4 linked regions of the Saccharomyces cerevisiae S288C genome follow. The protein of the gene in region 2 interacts with the protein of the main gene of each other region in a biochemical or structural test. Each region holds a gene or a part of one and is shown on either strand. Other genes may lie near its edges.

Region 1 (6,090 bases), on a different chromosome or scaffold from region 2:
CTCTTACTCTTCAGCCATTCTGCTGCGGCCGAAGCTATAAAAGTATGTCAATTTGGCTTTTTCCAAAATCCCCCTCTGGCTCTTTCTCTTCTCAAGACAAGCATTGAAGAGACTCACTAGTAAGCTTAAGATAGTCCTACACACAACCACCATGTCTGCTAACGATTACTACGGCGGAACCGCCGGCGAGAAGAGCCAATATTCCCGTCCCTCCAACCCGCCACCTTCATCCGCTCATCAGAACAAAACTCAGGAGCGTGGATACCCACCCCAACAACAGCAGCAGTACTACCAGCAGCAGCAGCAGCATCCCGGATACTATAACCAACAAGGATACAATCAGCAAGGGTACAATCAGCAAGGGTACAATCAGCAGGGCTACAATCAGCAGGGATATAACCAGCAGGGATATAACCAACAAGGCCATCAACAACCAGTCTACGTCCAACAACAACCACCCCAGAGGGGTAACGAAGGTTGTCTGGCTGCATGTCTGGCTGCATTATGTATATGCTGCACCATGGATATGCTATTCTAAGAGAACCCGCAAAAGTATTCAAGAATGAAAAAAAAAAAAAGAATAATCTCCCCTTCTGTTCTTTGCAGTTGCCTTTCTTCCCCTCAGTGTTATTTTTTTTCACAAGGAGATAAAAAAAAAAACTTTAACATGTCACTTTAAGCATGTATGTAATACGTCTATTAATTATATGTAACTTTTATAACTATTTTCATTTCTATGTGATCCATTTGCAGTTATGCACCTTTTTTTTTTTTCCGAATTGTGCTATGTATATATCACTAGTAATAATGTACCAAACTATACAAACACGTAGGATACAGTAAAAAAAATTTTAGCTGGTGAACTGTTGTAAGAAGGAGATTTCATCGGGCGTGAAATTTATTGCAGAAATTTGGGCAGAATGGTTCATCAAAAAGGTGTAGATCTCTTGCGCAAAAACATTCGCCTCTACATTGCTTGAAAGGCCCGTAACAATTTTATGAATGGTATCATTACTCATTGTGACCTCCGTGCTGGTCAAATTGATAATTTTCAGGAAACCCATGTACGCGCTACTCTTTTCCTCTACATCGTCCAATGCGTTAACGGACAAACACCATTTATTCCAGTTGGAATCATTGGCAAATGCGCCAGAACTGAAAACTTCAGGGTGTGTTAGCCCCATTTTTCCGATGGTCACAGACAAGTTCTCCATCACAGAGCTGTCTACGATTTGTGTGTTGGTGGTAAATAAATCTAGAATGATTCTAGACATATCAATGATATAAGTATTCAAATCGATACGTTCGCTTATCAAACCAAGCGCCCATATCGCATTTATCACAGCAGGAGTACCATCACTATCGTCGTTATGCATTATTTCCGTACCAATCAACTTCAAGAAATCCTCCAAATTACCAATTACCAGTTCCGAATTGAAAAAATATACAATATCTCCCAACAGGGCAAAGCAGCTTTGTCTTACTTCATGGACAGGGTCCTGCAAACATTCTAGCATGATTTTCAATATCGTTAAATCCTTCGTCCCTTGAGGGAACAATAGATCCTGCGAGTGAGCGCCAAGACCTTGTACCAATCCATCAATCAAATCTAATGAGGTGATGATGAAGTCCTTCTCAGGCACTACTATTGTCGGGTCTTGATGTGATTTGGCTTCCAATTCGACACAATGACATAGAATTCTAAAGGCTCTGTTGTACACTTCTGGTGCCATAGGCATGAATCTTTCCCCCAGTGATGATGCCACGCAGGAAAGACATTCTAAAAGTGGCCACAGCTCCTTGTCACTGTCTGACAGCAAAGCCCATTTTTCAATTAAGGGCGGCAAAATTATTTGCATCGCTGTCTCGTCTAATGCACATTTTTCAGCAAACCTGCCGATGGCATCATATAATATAATTAAATTCTTTTTCTTGTAATATTTCAAACATTTATCAAAACTCGTCAATAATTGACTATAAAATAAAGTTTCAACCAATTCGGAGTCGGCGTTTTCAATAAATACTGCTACACTACTAATAGCCGCCTCTTGAACATCCTTTTTCTTGTCCATTAATGTGTTTATTATAGGTTCTAAGACTGGAATTAAAAACTCAGTATGGTCTTGTAATATCCATGGTGAAAACCTACTTAATGTCCAACATGTCATTTTCCTCACTGGTGCCCACTTATCGTTCAATTGTTCCACTAAAAATGGTATTAGTGCTGGTAAGCCATCATTAAAATACTTCATTCCACCTTCTGCCATGGCCCCCAGTGCTAATATAGTAGCTTCTCTAATAAACCACCTATCAGAACCCAAATGTTCTCTTAAAAATGGGAACGCTATATCCATCACTTGATGAGGTAAAATATTCGTCATTACATCTAGCGTTGCCGCGGAACATTTTCTCAAATTCCATTGCGTATCAACATCGCCATCTTCATCATCATCATCATCATCATCATCTTCGTTGTCATCTGCATCCTCTCCATTTCCTGCCTCTTTCTTTTTCACAATACGGGGTGCAATGGGCTTGATGTCCTCATCTTTATCCTCCAAGAATGCATCATCATCATTAGAAGCTTCCAGGAGAACGATGGATTCTTCGTTATAGACCATTTTCGATAATAATATTGGCACGATATCCTTAACATATGGTTGTAAGATATGTTCAGGAATATTTGGGCTCGTTGCAAAGGCGTGCAAAAACTCGCAGGCTTCAATAGCCACTTTTTCCTCATTTACAGTGGTGATCAAATGCAACATGAATTGTACAATACCATCTAAATGGGAAACCAGCTTATCTGGTCTGAATTCCAATAAGAAACTAAAACTAATGCAAATCTGTGCCCTAACTAGGTCGTTTTCGTCGTTTTGTGCCAACTGAAAAATAATTTCTAAGAATTTATCTAATCTCACAATAAAACTTTGTGTTTGTAGCGGGATCACTGTATTTATACATTTCACCGATTCTGAGCGAATCACAGGTGAGAAATTTGGATTCGAAATAAACCTAAAAAAACTATCCAATAAGGCTTCCATAGGCTTCGTATTTCCCGACCATTCCAATTGGAAAAATTGAGCGCTGTCTTCCATGATCTTAGATAAAGCCTTAATACTTGGCTCATTTCCATTTGAGGTTAGCTCTAGCAACTGGTAAAGCATTTGAAGACCAGTTGGATCATCTCTATGCTGCCTATAGTAAGTGGAAAATAAAGTAGTAATAACGATACCTGTCACGTTCGAAACGAGATTATTGTTCGAATTATAAAGGCCATGTATAATGTTTGATTTGACGTATCCTAAGTCGTGGCTATTGCTCTTAATTAAATTGTTTCCCCCTAGCATTGAATTTTTCAACAGCATACCGGCGGTAGCTCTATTGTTCTGAAGATCCTGTAGGGAGTAGTGTTGCTTCAATACATCATCAGATTCGCCTTCAATTAAAATATAACACAAATAATTGAGAAATTCAGGTTGCAGCTGGAAGTTCTCCATAGCTTCCATTGCGTTATTACGAATCTCTGGATTTGGTGACATACAGTTCTGTAAAAGAGTTGCTAGTTGCAACACATAGTCTTCGGCGGGCTTCCATGTCGATGCCATCTTTATTCACTTAACTACTGCTAACAATTCTGAAAACCAAAGACTGCGGAATATTCTGATATGTATTATTACTATTCACTGCTCTTCTGCATAATTAATACTGAAAAGTTTTTCATACTTTTAAACATAACCTTTTTTTAAGCAAAACTCTATAACCCGGATCAGAAAACTACGAAAAGAGGGTAATAACATAGGTGCAGGATTTCCATCGATAACGACACCGACAATGAGCCTTGCTGCAACATCCAATTAGGACTAATAACTATCGTAGGAATTTCTACGTAATAAACTTCAACAGAGCCTAAAATTTGAAAATAAATAATCTAGAGGGGAAACTTAAAGAAATTCTATTCTTGTCAATAAAGTGGAAATGTGTCAGATGTCACAGTTTCTTTATTTGTGACACATATTTTCAACATAAATTCAGGCATTAGTGCTTTTATAAGCATAAGAAGTTGTGGCGATATGAATATTCCAGATTTTACTTACAAGCTGCATTGTATTCCTAAAATTCTTTTTTCTTTTTTTTTTTTTTTATGGAAAGGACCACTCTTACATAACTAGAATAGCATTAAGAATCAGATTTACAGATAATGATGTCATTATTAAATATATATATATATATATTGTCACTCCGTTCAAGTCGACAACCAATAAAAAATTTAAAAGAAACCAGGCAGTTAATAGAAAAAATATGATATGAATGAATATTCCACTTTCTTTTTACAGTCTTTGTAGATAATGAATCTGACCATCTAAATTTCTTAGTTTTTCAGCAGCTTGTTCCGAAGTTAAATCTCTTTGAGGCTCACCTAACAATTCAAAACCAACCAAGAATTTCCGAACAGTAGCTGATCTCAGTAAAGGTGGGTAGAAATGCATGTGAAACCAACTATTACTCAATTCATCACCAGTCGCATTCAAAGGAGCCTGATGGATACCCATTGAGTATGGGAAACTCGTTTCAAATAAATTATCATACTTAATAGTTAGTTGCTTTAAAATCGAGGCGAGGTCCTCCTTCACCATTTGGTTAAATTGGCTAATTGAGGCAAGCTTCTTCTTTGAAATGACCAAGGTCTCAAATGGCCAGATGGCCCAGTATGGAACAACAACAATAAAGGATTCATTCTCCACTACGACTCTTGACTTCTCTCTTGATTCTAATTTGACGTAATCGGCAAACAAATCAGTATTGTGTTCACGTTTATATTTATCAAAAGATTTCAATTCTTGCGAAACTTCACTAGGGATGGATTCTAAGCACCAAGCTTGGCCATGTGGATGTAAGTTGGAACAACCCATGGCTGTACCTTTGTTTTCAAATATTTGGACATATTTGAAAGGCTTATGATTTTCTCTTGCTTCTCTGGAGAGATCGTCAGTCAATGCTTGCCAAGAATTAACAATATGAACCAGATCTGATTGTTTCATTTGTGGAATGGTTAGATTATGATTGGGGCTAAAACATATGACGAAACAATTGCCTCTCACAGATTGCACTTTAAGCAGCCTATTTTTAAGATTATCCTCATTGGAATCATTCTGTGGTAAAATAGGTTGATCGAGCCTAACGGCAGCATAATCATTGGGGAAAATATACGTTGATTCATATCTTGGGTTTAGGTTACCAGTAGCTCTTTTGTTACCAGGACATAGATAGCATTTTGGATCATACAATGGAGCTGTGGGCTTGTAAGCAGCCTCCTGTTGACCTAACCAAGGTCTTTTAGCTCTGTGTGGAGAAACTAAGATCCATGAATCGGTTAGTGGATTGTAACGTCTATGGGAATGGCTAGAAAAATCAAATTCTTCAGCAGTCATTTTTGAGGGAATATTCAACTGTTTTTTTTTATCATGTTGATGCTCTGCATAATAATGCCCATAAATATTTCCGACCTGCTTTTATATCTTTGCTAGCCAAACTAACTGAACATAGCTACACATTATTTTCAGCTTGGCTATTTTGTGAACACTGTATAGCCAGTCCTTCGGATCACGGTCAACAGTTGTCCGAGCGCTTTTTGGACCCTTTCCCTTATTTTTGGGTTAAGGAAAATGACAGAAAATATATCTAATGAGCCTTCGCTCAACAGTGCTCCGAAGTATAGCTTTCCAAAAGGAGAGGCAAAGCAATTTAAGAATGTATGAACAAAATAAAGGGGAAAAATTACCCCCTCTACTTTACCAAACGAATACTACCAATAATATTTACAACTTTTCCTTATGATTTTTTCACTGAAGCGCTTCGCAATAGTTGTGAGTGATATCAAAAGTAACGAAATGAACTCCGCGGCTCGTGCTATATTCTTGTTGCTACCGTCCATATCTTTCCATAGATTTTCAATTTTTGATGTCTCCATGGTGGTACAGAGAACTTGTAAACAATTCGGTCCCTACATGTGAGGAAATTCGCTGTGACACTTTTATCACTGAACTCCAAATTTAAAAAATAGCATAAAATTCGTTATACAGCAAATCT
Region 2 (4,866 bases):
TAATTATACTGTTTCTGAAGAACAAGATAAAGTGAAAAAATCTAAATCCACTGAAGAGATTATGGAAGAAAAATATTTTAATTATAGACCCACGAACGCTGCTATCAAATATTGCATGAAATATTCTATGGTCGAATTAAGCATAACTCTCTTCACCCTAGCGCTTTTCGTCAATTGTGCCATCCTAGTTGTTGCGGGCTCCACTCTATATAACTCACCAGAAGCAGATGGGGCAGATTTGTTTACTATTCATGAATTATTATCAAGAAATCTGGCACCCGCAGCAGGTACGATTTTCATGCTCGCACTTTTATTAAGTGGTCAATCCGCAGGTGTAGTGTGTACTATGTCGGGTCAAATTGTAAGTGAGGGTCATATTAATTGGAAGTTGCAGCCATGGCAAAGAAGATTGGCCACTAGATGTATTTCGATAATCCCTTGTTTGGTCATCTCTATCTGTATCGGTAGAGAAGCTTTATCAAAGGCCTTAAATGCTTCCCAAGTTGTTTTATCCATAGTTCTGCCATTTTTGGTAGCACCTTTAATTTTCTTCACATGTAAAAAATCAATCATGAAAACCGAAATTACCGTCGACCATACTGAAGAAGATAGCCATAACCATCAAAATAACAACGATAGATCTGCAGGTAGCGTAATCGAGCAAGATGGTTCTAGTGGCATGGAGATAGAAAATGGAAAAGATGTCAAAATCGTTTATATGGCAAACAATTGGATTATCACTGTTATTGCTATAATTGTGTGGCTTTTCTTATCTTTACTGAACGTTTATGCCATTGTTCAATTAGGCATGTCTCATGGTGATATCAGTTAATGTCTGCCTCTTACATTCTTGCGCACAATAACATTAAGATTATTTGTAAGCTTTATGACAGCTGTACTTCAAGTAGAGCTTGTGATTATACATTCTAGCATAGTGAAAAAAAAATAATAACTATTCGAAACTAATACACGTACATGTATATATATATTATAAATTGCTTATGCTTATTTAATAGAAGGGTTGTTGAATTATACAAGAAAACTTTTCTCTAGTTTTCTACACTTTTCTTTTTTTTTACCTATTATATGGATGGTAGCCATTATTACGTCTATTGTATCCACCGCGACCACCACGGCCGTTTCTTCTATGGTTTCCACCACTACGGTGATTGTAATCGCGGTCACGATCGTTACGATCACGATCACCGCGATCACGGTTGTAGCCATAACCGCTATTGTGGTCATCATTGTATTGTGATGGGCCCTTTGGACCATTAGGTAAATTCAATGGCGGTGAACCAGAGTCAGTGTTTGATGTATTACCAATAGTTTGGACGTCATTGGATTTATTATTATCGGAATCAGAAGGTGCTGGGGAACCTTGAGTGGCATTTGAATCTTGCTGTGGTTGGTTTAAAGTCATTGCATTAGGTGGCATGGCAAACCCTGGCATCATCATTGCCATTTGCTGCATTTGTTGTTGGTACATTTGAGTATAATCCATACCAGTTTGCTTTTGCATTTGTTGGTAATATTCTTGCATCTTTTGATAGTAATCTGTCATTGCTTGCGGATTCATCATTGGGTTGTAACCGCCCATCATAGGGTTTTGATACATTTGGTTGAAATCGCCTTGGTTACCGAAGTTACCGCCACGACGATTCATGTTGTTTCCACCATTGTTACCACCATTGTTTGATGATTTTTGTTGCATATGTCTTGGCTCAGCTCTCTTGATTTCGATCTTGCGATCTTTGAAATCGATGAATTTATTCTGACAAACTCTGTCAACGGCGTCAGCGGAGTCATACGTCACAAAACCAAAACCTCTTGATTGACCGGTATCCTTATCTAACATCAGTTGCGCATCGATAATCGTACCCCACTGAGAAAAAAATTCTTCAAATTCCTTTGGTCTCACATCAGGACCAATACCACCAACAAAGATTTTACCGGTTTTATCTTGCTCGTCTCTTGGGATAGCTCTTTTTGGGTCGATAACTTTACCATCGAGGATATGTTGTGTCTTTACCACTTCATCAACACTAGAAGGTTTTTCAAAAGATAAGAAACCGAACCCTCTAGATCTACCTGTTGCAGGGTCTTTCATGATTTTCAAATCAGTGACGGTACCATACTTACCAAAATATTCGCGAAGATTATCTTCCGTAGTGTCCCAATTCAGACCACCAATGAACATCTTGCAACTTTCTTTAGACAAATCCGCTTTCGAACGTTCCTCTTTGGTTTGAGTTACTTGCTGTTGAGGTGGTGATTGAGAAGATGGTTGCTGGAATTGTGACATGGTTTGTTGAAGTTGTTCCCAAGGTAAGCCAGAAGGTCCTGCAGAACTAGCGTTGGCATTGGCATTTGCTGATGTAGCGCTTTCTTGTTTTTTTTCATTCTTAGTGTCTTCATTGGAACCTTCCTTGTCATTCGCAGTGCCATCTTGCTTACTAGAAGATGTGTCTTGGTTACTATTATTACTACTACTGTTGTTACTATTTGGATTATTTAGTTTGTTCAAGCTAGAAGATAATGCTTGTAGTGCGGCTAGTTGATCTAATTGCGAGGTACCACTGCCAGCCTTATTTTGTTCTTCTTCTTTTTTGACTTCTTCAGTAGTGGTAGGCTTATCATCGCCGTAGATGTCGTTGAAATCTTCTTCGTCAGAGCTCATTGCTTATTTAACTTATTCTCTATTTTCTCAGACTTGTGTATACTGCTAAAGTTCTTTATAAATAAAATATTTGCGTCTTTTATGAAAAGATTGTAATATAAACAGTAATATTAATACAGAATAAAAAAGGGCCAATTGTTTGTATTATGCACGCTTTTTCAATTTCTTGTTTATTGAGTATACCTTTTCTGTCCGTATTTTTTCTTTTTGTTTCTTTCGCAAAAAAGGTTAGAAAGAAATCTAGTAAGGTATGAGATTTTAGTTATTAAACACTAAAAAGTAAAAGATACACGTAAAAAATTTATAACAGTATATTGTACTAATACTTGACTATCTGCAAAATTAAATAACTAGTCGAAACTGTTCAATCCTTTGTTTTTAATTACAGTGGCGGAAAGGAGAGAGCGGAAGAAAATTTAAGAGCGCCTGGGCGTGTGGAAAGCATGCGCCTTTTATACTTTTTTTGCTTTGTCCAACAAGAAATCTCGGCGCTGCTCGTAGGGAGGGGCTGCAAGAAAAAAAATAAATAAAAAAAAGAAAGTATTTCCGGGTAAGATTAAAAATGCATTCGATTTAGCCGCCCAGTATTTCGCAAGATCTTCCAAGGTTATAGATGTTTAGAAGAGAAAGAAGTTGGGATCCTTAAGAGCATGTTTCTTTTTCCACGCATCTACATTAGGATTTACTCTTTGTTTTTCAACTTCTGCGCAAGATCTTCAAGAACAAATCGAAGAGATAAAAAAATTGATATTTATAGTCAATAGGTTTTCGATAGCATGACCCTCCGGACTTTTGATGGATAGATAAAGCGAAATTTAGAGGGTTTTTGATCTTCTTCCTTGCAGCAACCTATATTTCTTAGTATTTTGTATATCAATAGCCTCCATAATGTTATCTATAGCTATTAGTACTTTAAGAGACTTTTATTACCCGTATTTTGGATTCTTTTCCGAAGAAAAAAGAAATGTTTACGTTGTGGGAAAAGTGAAAAAAATCGATGATTATGGGCATCGAGGTCTTAATACCCGTAATATGGAGATGAAATAGCATAACTAAACACATTGTATATAAGGTAAAAACGGCAGCATGAAGAAATATCTGCTGTATATGGTACAAGTTCATTTGAACTTTAGAAGAGCAGAACTGGAATCGTTAGCAGACCTATATAATCTTTCCATAGACTTTTCGCAGTACGATGCCAATAGCCCTTTCTTTATTGTAGAGCTGGAAAATGATCAGCAAGCAAAGGATTGGATTAAGAGGTCTATTTTAACCAGAGGTATTTATGAGTATTGGGGGCAGGGTACAACGCTCGATGAGCTGCATAAAGATATTCAGCGTCAGTCTAACTTTGAACAGGATCTGCAATTGAAATTCAAACATTCCACTTTTAAGTTCGAATTCGAATGCTATAAAGGCAACAGTAAAGCTAAGAGGGTAGAGCAGATTGAAACTTTCCGTTACCTTGGCTTTGAAGGAAAGATTGATATGAAACATCCTCAAGAGGTTTTCACTGTTATAGAAGAGTACACACCAATATCGGAAAACGTTGGTGGTAAGACCCCCACCAGGATTTATTTTGGTAGGCAGGTTCAGATGAGCAATAGGAGTGCCATGGAGAAATATGATTTGAAGAAAAGACCTTATAAAGGTACAACTAGCTTCGAAGCAGAATTATCGTTGGTCAGCGCCAATATAGCTCAAGTGAAACCGGGAACTATAATGTACGACCCGTTTGCAGGTACAGGATCCTTTTTGGTAGCTGGTGGGCATTTTGGTTCTTTAGTGATTGGTTCGGATATAGATGGCAGAATGATTCGTGGTAAGGGTGCTCAAGTGAACATTTCGGCCAACTTCAAAAAATATGGCGAGAGTTCTCAATTCCTCGACGTGTTGACCATGGACTTTACAAATAACGCATTAAGAAACAATCTTGTCATTGATACTATTTTGTGTGATCCTCCATATGGTATCAGAGAAAGCATAAAAGTCCTAGGTGCTAAGGATCCAGAAAGATTTCTAGGCAAGGAAGATATGGAAATTGACGGTGAAAAGGCATATTTGCGTCGCGATTATATTCCAACCAAAAAACCGTATGCTCTAGATTCATTACTGGATGATCTTTTACAATACTCTTCCGAAAGATTACCGATTGGCGGAAGATTAGCCTTCTGGATGCCCACTGC
Region 3 (4,058 bases), on a different chromosome or scaffold from region 2:
GAGTATCTCTCCTATATATATTAACCCTGAAACGTTGCAGTTTCAATCTAGAGTTTATCTGAAAGTGCCCCTTGATGCATTTTCGACCCTTACTACTGTGGGAAAATTTTTCTCCTTCCAATACTATATCGAGGTTATGGTTAACTTATCAAAAAAAAACGTGGTTTACACAGAATCTAATAGAATAATAGGAACTCCTATTGGAGAACAAAATGGCTTGGGCGTAGAGAATAATATCAACCGTATCCAAAGGAAAATGCTACGTATGGTCAATCCAGAAACGTTGGAGAACGATTCTGAGGGTTATGAATCCAGTATATTTTTCAAAGATATGGTAAATGTGGAAAAGCTAAAGAGACTGAGGAATGTAACTGGTATGTCCATAGAAACCGTCATAGGAACGACGAGATCCGAACAGCAGCAATCTGATGCAAGCATCCCATCCCAATCCTCAATCACGGCTCCTCAAAATTCTCCATCGAATTTAAGAGATTGGTTGGCCCCATTAAATGCATATGATAGTGACGATGTTCCAGTTCCAAAGTATTCGCCAAATGATAAAGTCAGTGTACCGTCGGAAGACAAACAAGAACTTGAACAAAAAAGACTACAACAGTTAGAAAGCGATCCTCCCCCTTGTGATGACTATTAAAAAGTGCAGGTAACAAGTCATATACTCGCAGCTTGCGCCGTGTTGGAACTAGGCGCCTTAATCATGTTTGCATATTTCCACTATCCCAGCCACGTAATGATCCATGACATTAACATAGAAAAAAAAAATCGAAGCATGCACAAACCTGAGATTTATATATGTTCATGTGTACTTAATATACGTTTAATGATTAAAACTATAGCCGTCCTCAGGCAAACTGAGATAAGAAACGAAAAAATAGCAGTAACGTAAACGTTATTCTATATTTATAAAGACGTCAAAAAAAAAAGTGATTGTGATATTGAGATGTAAGCTATATACCGAACTTTGAGCTCCCTCACGTGGAAAATATGATAGATTGTTGCCTCATCATTGCGGAACCGCATTTTTTTTTTGTATTTTTGCCTCCCTAGTTTCAAAATGCACCAAATTCTCCCCTTAATGCTTTTTGTTTTAAGTCCCAAATAGCCATCCTTTCATCATCGGGCAAGATAGAAATTTGACTGTCATTCAGTTGTAACACCTGTTTCAGTAGTTCTTTCTGTTTGTTAAGCACAGCTGGATCCACCACCTCGTTCACGCTATTGTTATTCGTAGCCGATGCCTCTTCTTGCGGCCTGGAAGCTAACGGGATCAAATCATCCACTTTACATATCCCATTCGTTAGCAATAATTCAGCCGTAACAAAACTCAACTGTGGACACAGCTCTAATAGCGAAACAGCATCTTCAGGATGCGCTCTTGTCCATTCTTGGAATTTTTGTAAAAATTTCAACTGCACCTCTTTCGGTTTTTTAGCTAGTTCGCTCGATATCATCATAGCAGGGGTGGTCATGTTTATGTTAACGTCGATACCAGAGGGCAATTCTGGAAACTTTTGACTTAGAAAATTGGCATTTCCGCTGTTTTGAAAGTCCGGCCCATTACTATTATTATTATTATTTCCATTGTTGTTATTGTTCCCATTAATGTTGTTGTACTGTTGTTGTTGCTGTTGTGAAACTCCCGATATATCACTATTGCTGGAGTAACCGCATTTCAAAAACCTAGAGCCTAATTGGTATCCATTCAAATTACGTACTGCGCTGGCACTGGACTCTAAATCTCTAAATTCAATAAACGCGTACCCTTTCGACCTACCAGTTTGGGGGTCGAACATCATTTTCAAATTGATCACGGGCCCAACATTACTACATAAATCAAGTATCTGCTCCTCTGTTTGATCGTATGGTATAGAACCCAGATACACCACTCGGGATGGTGGGTTGTTCTGTACCCCCGCATTCACACCGCTCTGCCTATTCATTTTATCGTTTTCGTCTTTTCTTTCAATGTATTGATAATTAACGTGTCTATGTGATGCTATTGGTATATAGCCTTTCTTGTATATCCCTCTAACAATTATTACAAGTGTTTCTGTTTAAAGCAAGTGCTAGAAGTGACTCGGTTCTCTTAGGAAATTCTAAACGCAAGATTTCTCTTATGGTGATTGTAACAATTATGAGATACTTCACTAGCCCACCTTAACTTTACGGACCTTCTTTTGAAACGATGCTTCGAATGACAACGCCTTTTTGATATATAATATCCAATTTCATTATAGGGAAATTTTCAACTCTTACCCGCCCCACTGTGCTGATATGACCAAGTGATCACTCGATGATGGGACTACGTATTGAAAAATATTGAATGAAAAATTACTCAAGCAGCAGAACATTCACAGTGTAGTCAGTCCGCATAAGAGCATTCATCATGGATAGTAAGGAAGTACTGGTACATGTTAAGAATCTAGAAAAGAACAAAAGTAATGATGCTGCAGTTCTAGAAATCTTACATGTCTTGGATAAAGAATTCGTCCCCACTGAAAAGTTACTGAGAGAAACAAAAGTTGGTGTGGAAGTCAACAAGTTTAAAAAATCCACTAATGTAGAGATCAGCAAACTCGTGAAGAAAATGATTAGCTCTTGGAAAGACGCAATTAATAAAAATAAGCGTTCCAGGCAAGCACAGCAGCATCATCAAGATCATGCGCCAGGCAATGCAGAGGACAAGACAACTGTAGGTGAGTCCGTGAATGGTGTTCAACAGCCGGCCTCCTCCCAGTCAGATGCCATGAAACAAGACAAGTACGTCAGCACTAAACCAAGAAATAGTAAGAACGATGGTGTGGATACAGCTATATACCACCACAAATTACGTGATCAGGTACTAAAAGCACTCTACGACGTTTTGGCCAAGGAAAGTGAGCATCCACCTCAATCTATTTTGCATACTGCAAAGGCCATAGAAAGTGAAATGAATAAAGTTAACAACTGTGACACCAACGAAGCCGCTTACAAAGCCAGGTATCGTATAATTTATTCAAACGTCATATCAAAGAATAACCCAGATCTCAAACATAAAATTGCCAACGGTGATATAACACCTGAATTCTTAGCTACATGCGATGCCAAGGATCTGGCACCAGCGCCCTTAAAGCAAAAGATAGAAGAAATTGCCAAGCAAAACTTATACAACGCACAGGGTGCCACCATAGAAAGGTCAGTCACCGATAGATTTACATGTGGTAAATGTAAAGAGAAGAAGGTATCTTACTATCAATTGCAAACAAGATCTGCGGATGAACCATTGACCACTTTCTGTACATGTGAAGCATGTGGTAACAGATGGAAATTCTCTTAGAATAGAAAAAGATGAGAGTAGCCACGGACAGAGCAAAGGAAACAATAGGAGGAAGGGACAGAAAAGCCTGTTCTGACTCTATTCGTAGTAGTATTTGACAGCCGGAATCCAGGAAAAGAAAAAGCCAAACATACAACCATATCCAATTTGTTGAAATGGCATATTCATATACGATGTACATATATACATATACTGCTGGTGTTAATTTTTTTTGTCTGTCTCACGTAAAATCTTTTGTTCGTCCAGTTACTTTTAATTATTTATGATTTTCATGTTTTCTTTATTAATCTTCTATGCATTAAATATGGCTCGGTCAGAACTAAAGAAATACAATTTAAGATGTAACAAAACCGACGAATAAAAAGTTAGAATAAACACAAGAAGCAGAAAGTAGATACTACAGCCACACATAATGCTAAGAGTTATATGGAAGCATAGTTCCAGAGTCACTCGTTCGATAGAACTATCGAACATTTCTACCACTAATCACACCAGGAGTTTAAGGAGGCTTTCCTGGATTTCTCCGAGAAGATTTTACGCTCAATCTTGGGACGACAGACAGCCTAATGACAAAATAGATGCACACATAAAGGTGCAGAAACTCATGGATCAAATAAATTCGAGGCCTAATGTTCTGGAAAAGTTAGAAAAGGTTAGCAATATCATGATCGAAAAAAAATTGGTTAATCTAGATGGGACTTCTGCCAATGAAGAAAATACGATG
Region 4 (3,961 bases), on a different chromosome or scaffold from region 2:
GAGAACCTTGAGATCTATATGTCACCATTGCTAAAGAGGAAGTTTTTTCGCGAGTTCGCGCGCTGAAAACTTTTCTCCCATTTCCTTTTTTTTTTATTTTTTTGGCGTTTAGATATAAAAGCTTTAGCAGGATTGCTCTTCCTTTTCACCACACATATAGTGATATAAAATTTATTTATAAACTAACACAAGTAAATATACAACACCCAGTATTTTTGGCTGCCCGTGTCTTTCTCTACCACGGGTAGTCTCTCTAAGCTGGCAGATAGATGTTTATTGAACCGCTTAAGTTCCGTTGTGAAGTTTTCGTCTTTCAGGCTGTATTTCATAACACTACTGTAGTTCACACATACACATGCGTAATGCCCCAATCTTGATAAACAGCACATACAAGTAACAGCAAGTCTGCTTAGCAGCCAGATAGAGCTCTTATAGATGCCACCAGAACCAGCGCCGGGTAAATTGTAAATACTAGAAGGGGCCGCAACTTATAAGAAAGAAGAAATGACTAATTTGCATGATTAGATATTTTAAAGATACTCTACCTAGACCAGTAGTACACTTCACGGATCTGCACTGAAAATGACTAAACAAGCTGAGGAGACCCAAAAGCCAATCATATTTGCTCCTGAGACGTATCAATATGATAAATTTACTTTGAATGAAAAACAACTTACTGACGACCCAATCGATCTTTTCACCAAATGGTTCAACGAAGCCAAGGAAGACCCAAGGGAAACGTTGCCAGAAGCAATTACTTTTTCATCCGCGGAACTACCTAGTGGGAGGGTGTCGTCCAGGATTCTTCTTTTTAAGGAGCTCGACCATAGAGGTTTTACTATTTATTCTAACTGGGGAACCTCTAGAAAGGCTCATGATATTGCTACCAACCCGAATGCGGCAATCGTATTCTTTTGGAAGGATCTGCAAAGGCAGGTGAGAGTTGAAGGTATCACAGAGCATGTTAACAGAGAAACTTCTGAAAGATACTTTAAGACGAGACCTCGTGGATCCAAGATCGGTGCATGGGCTTCCCGCCAATCGGATGTTATCAAGAACAGAGAAGAACTAGACGAGTTGACCCAAAAAAACACCGAACGTTTCAAGGATGCTGAAGACATCCCATGTCCAGATTATTGGGGTGGCTTGAGAATCGTTCCACTGGAAATTGAGTTCTGGCAAGGTAGACCCTCGAGATTGCATGATAGATTCGTTTACAGAAGAAAAACAGAAAACGATCCATGGAAAGTCGTTAGACTAGCCCCATGAGGGACTGTTAATGAAAAATTCAATGTAGGATCTATTTAACACCATATAATTCTCTCATTTTCTATTTTATACTGTATAATGAATCTTTTTATACCGCCTATAGGGTAATATGTCAGAATATACCGAGATGAAAAAAAAGAAAAAGGAATTCCGAAATTTGGAAATGGCGGGAAAATTTTTTCACAAAGGGAAATTATATGTTATAAAAATAGTTGAAGAGATGAGCTGCCTACTGCTCACCTTGCCGTTTCCAAAAAAGAGTTAGAACCGACAAATTCATCCAAAGAAAATAATGAGCAAGACAGCCGTGAAAGATTCTGCTACAGAAAAAACCAAGCTAAGTGAAAGCGAACAGCACTACTTCAATTCGTACGATCACTATGGTATTCACGAAGAGATGCTTCAAGATACTGTTCGTACCTTATCTTACAGAAACGCAATTATCCAAAATAAGGATCTTTTTAAGGACAAGATTGTTTTAGACGTCGGTTGCGGTACCGGTATTTTATCCATGTTTGCCGCTAAACACGGTGCGAAGCATGTTATCGGTGTTGATATGTCAAGCATTATTGAGATGGCGAAGGAATTGGTAGAGTTGAACGGATTCAGCGACAAGATCACCTTGCTAAGAGGCAAGTTGGAGGACGTTCATTTACCCTTTCCTAAAGTTGACATCATAATTTCTGAATGGATGGGTTACTTTCTACTATACGAGTCCATGATGGACACCGTTCTTTACGCTAGAGACCACTATTTGGTAGAAGGCGGTCTGATCTTTCCCGACAAGTGCTCCATTCATTTGGCCGGTTTGGAAGACTCTCAGTATAAAGACGAGAAGTTGAACTACTGGCAAGACGTTTACGGGTTTGATTATTCGCCATTTGTTCCGTTGGTCTTACACGAGCCCATCGTCGACACCGTGGAAAGAAACAATGTCAACACCACCTCAGACAAATTGATCGAATTTGATTTAAATACAGTAAAAATATCAGATCTAGCGTTTAAGAGTAACTTTAAATTGACGGCCAAGAGACAAGATATGATTAATGGTATAGTCACCTGGTTCGACATTGTTTTCCCTGCACCAAAGGGTAAGAGACCTGTTGAGTTCTCCACTGGTCCTCATGCTCCATACACTCACTGGAAGCAAACAATATTTTATTTCCCTGATGATCTAGATGCTGAAACTGGTGACACCATTGAAGGTGAATTGGTTTGCTCTCCAAACGAGAAGAATAACAGAGATCTAAATATCAAAATTTCTTACAAGTTCGAATCGAATGGCATCGACGGTAATTCAAGAAGCAGAAAAAACGAAGGTTCTTATTTAATGCATTAAGACTTTTGTTTGCTGGAGAAAGAAAAAAATTTGAAAAGCAAATAAACAAACTTGTTCATATTATTGACGCGAATATGTGTACTTTGTTACCCTTTTTTGTTGGTCGTGTACCAAAATTAGTTTAGATATATGACTTTGCATGTCCTTGTACTATAGTTTTTAAAAGAAAAAATCTACTTATCTATCCTTCATTAGGATGCTATTTTTCACCTTGTTATCATGAATATTAGTTAAAGAAGCAACAGCAACAACCCAATTCTGAATCATCCATCAATTTCCAACCTATGTCGGCAAACTTTTTCAATATCTTTTTGTTTTCTTCCTCCGATGGCGCAACGTTTGAGGCGTTACTAGCTGCACATTTTCCGGAATACATGCTCTTCATTACCGATTCGTAGCATCCGGTACTACTTGTAGCACTTACATAGTAACGCTTAGCACGGTCATGTGCATTCTTCCTAAAAGGTTCTAGGGTATTAAATAGTGCGGTTATTTGCACCAATTCGTTCAGCGCAGTTGACAACGTCATAATTCTGTCATTTATTCCCTTGGCCATATTTCCATTACGGATGTATAAACTTATTAATGTGGTAGGTATGGGTCCTATCAAACTAATGATATTATAGCATTCTTCCACCATTGGCAGCATGAAAATAGAAACAGTTCCCATCAAGTCTTTGGTTGTGCAACGTGTATTTTCTTCACTGGCAAGATTTGACGTAATACTTTGTGTTGGCGACATTAATTCTTCTTCACTGTCCTGAGCAAAATAGGCGTTCGGAAGGGGCTTTGAATCCAAATCAACAGAGTTTTCTGCGTTCATATTAGTAATTGAATCTAATATGCCTGATACCAGAGTGATCATTGAGCAGACTAGCTCTCCGATATTTTTCATTTCAGCATCCGAATTGCAGCAATTTTCTAGAATATGGTCATTTTTCTGTTCAATATTTAGTAATTTTCTGATTAAAATTTCCTTTTTCTTCAAAAGGGTCTCAAATTTGCCAGCTATATTATCATGTTCCCCTTTTTCAACAGCGAACTCTCCGTAATCCGTTTGATTTGTGAACAGCAAGTGGTGAGGTACATTTACTTGCAATGATTTTCTGTTAAGGACAAAATATGTTATAAATTCACCAAGTTTAAGGTTTCGTAGAATGTTATCCAAAGCTACGGGAGCTTTTTCGACGACTTGGTTATGACCTGTTTTATCGCTAAAATATGTTTCAATGGCGCTACCAAAATTTAGATTAATTAATTTTGGTTGACCTAGCCGAAAGCTTTGTAGCGTATCCAGAATGTTTAAAAGGATGTACAACCTTTTGAACAACACAGCATAATCCAGTATCTCGT

What was found.
Region 1: the proteins of HRP1 (region 2) and KAP104 form a complex in vitro, tested with the Saccharomyces cerevisiae proteins (2 studies listed by BioGRID).
Region 3: the proteins of HRP1 (region 2) and RNA15 form a complex in vitro, tested with the Saccharomyces cerevisiae proteins (one study listed by BioGRID).
Region 4: of the proteins of HRP1 (region 2) and HMT1, one has a biochemical effect on the other in vitro, tested with the Saccharomyces cerevisiae proteins (4 studies listed by BioGRID).

The regions. Positions count from the first base shown.
Region 1 is NC_001134.8:270,096-276,185, forward strand, and holds KAP104 (Kap104p), read right to left. Parts: upstream 3,609-6,090; coding exon 852-3,608; downstream 1-851. Other genes in the region: cysteine-rich palmitoylated domain-containing protein CPP1, read left to right, coding at 152-538; GAL7 (UDP-glucose:hexose-1-phosphate uridylyltransferase), read right to left, coding at 4,332-5,432. UniProt on the Saccharomyces cerevisiae protein: Functions in nuclear protein import as nuclear transport receptor. Serves as receptor for arginine/glycine-rich nuclear localization signals (rg-NLS) and PY-NLS in cargo substrates. Its predominant cargo substrate seems to be mRNA-binding proteins.
Region 2 is NC_001147.6:85,658-90,523, reverse strand, and holds HRP1 (Hrp1p), read right to left. Parts: upstream 2,681-4,866; coding exon 1,076-2,680; downstream 1-1,075. Other genes in the region: divalent metal ion transporter SMF1, read left to right, coding at 1-832; TRM11 (tRNA (guanine-N2-)-methyltransferase), read left to right, coding at 3,767-4,866. UniProt on the Saccharomyces cerevisiae protein: RNA-binding protein, which is involved in the polyadenylation-dependent pre-mRNA 3'-end formation and cooperates with the cleavage factor CFIA complex and the cleavage and polyadenylation factor (CPF) complex.
Region 3 is NC_001139.9:415,079-419,136, forward strand, and holds RNA15 (Rna15p), read right to left. Parts: upstream 1,959-4,058; coding exon 1,068-1,958; downstream 1-1,067. Other genes in the region: RIM8 (Rim8p), read left to right, coding at 1-652; transcription elongation factor DST1, read left to right, coding at 2,405-3,334; YGL041C-B (uncharacterized protein), read right to left, coding at 3,626-3,808; DPC13 (Dpc13p), read left to right, coding at 3,747-4,058. UniProt on the Saccharomyces cerevisiae protein: RNA-binding component of the cleavage factor IA (CFIA) complex, which is involved in the endonucleolytic cleavage during polyadenylation-dependent pre-mRNA 3'-end formation and cooperates with the cleavage factor NAB4/CFIB and the cleavage and polyadenylation factor (CPF) complex.
Region 4 is NC_001134.8:303,577-307,537, reverse strand, and holds HMT1 (protein-arginine omega-N methyltransferase HMT1), read left to right. Parts: upstream 1-1,561; coding exon 1,562-2,608; downstream 2,609-3,961. Other genes in the region: pyridoxamine-phosphate oxidase PDX3, read left to right, coding at 583-1,269; EDS1 (Eds1p), read right to left, coding at 2,835-3,961. UniProt on the Saccharomyces cerevisiae protein: S-adenosyl-L-methionine-dependent protein-arginine N-methyltransferase that catalyzes both the mono- and asymmetric (type I) dimethylation of the guanidino nitrogens of arginine residues in a variety of RNA-binding proteins such as heterogeneous nuclear ribonucleoproteins (hnRNPs) and small nuclear ribonucleoproteins (snRNPs).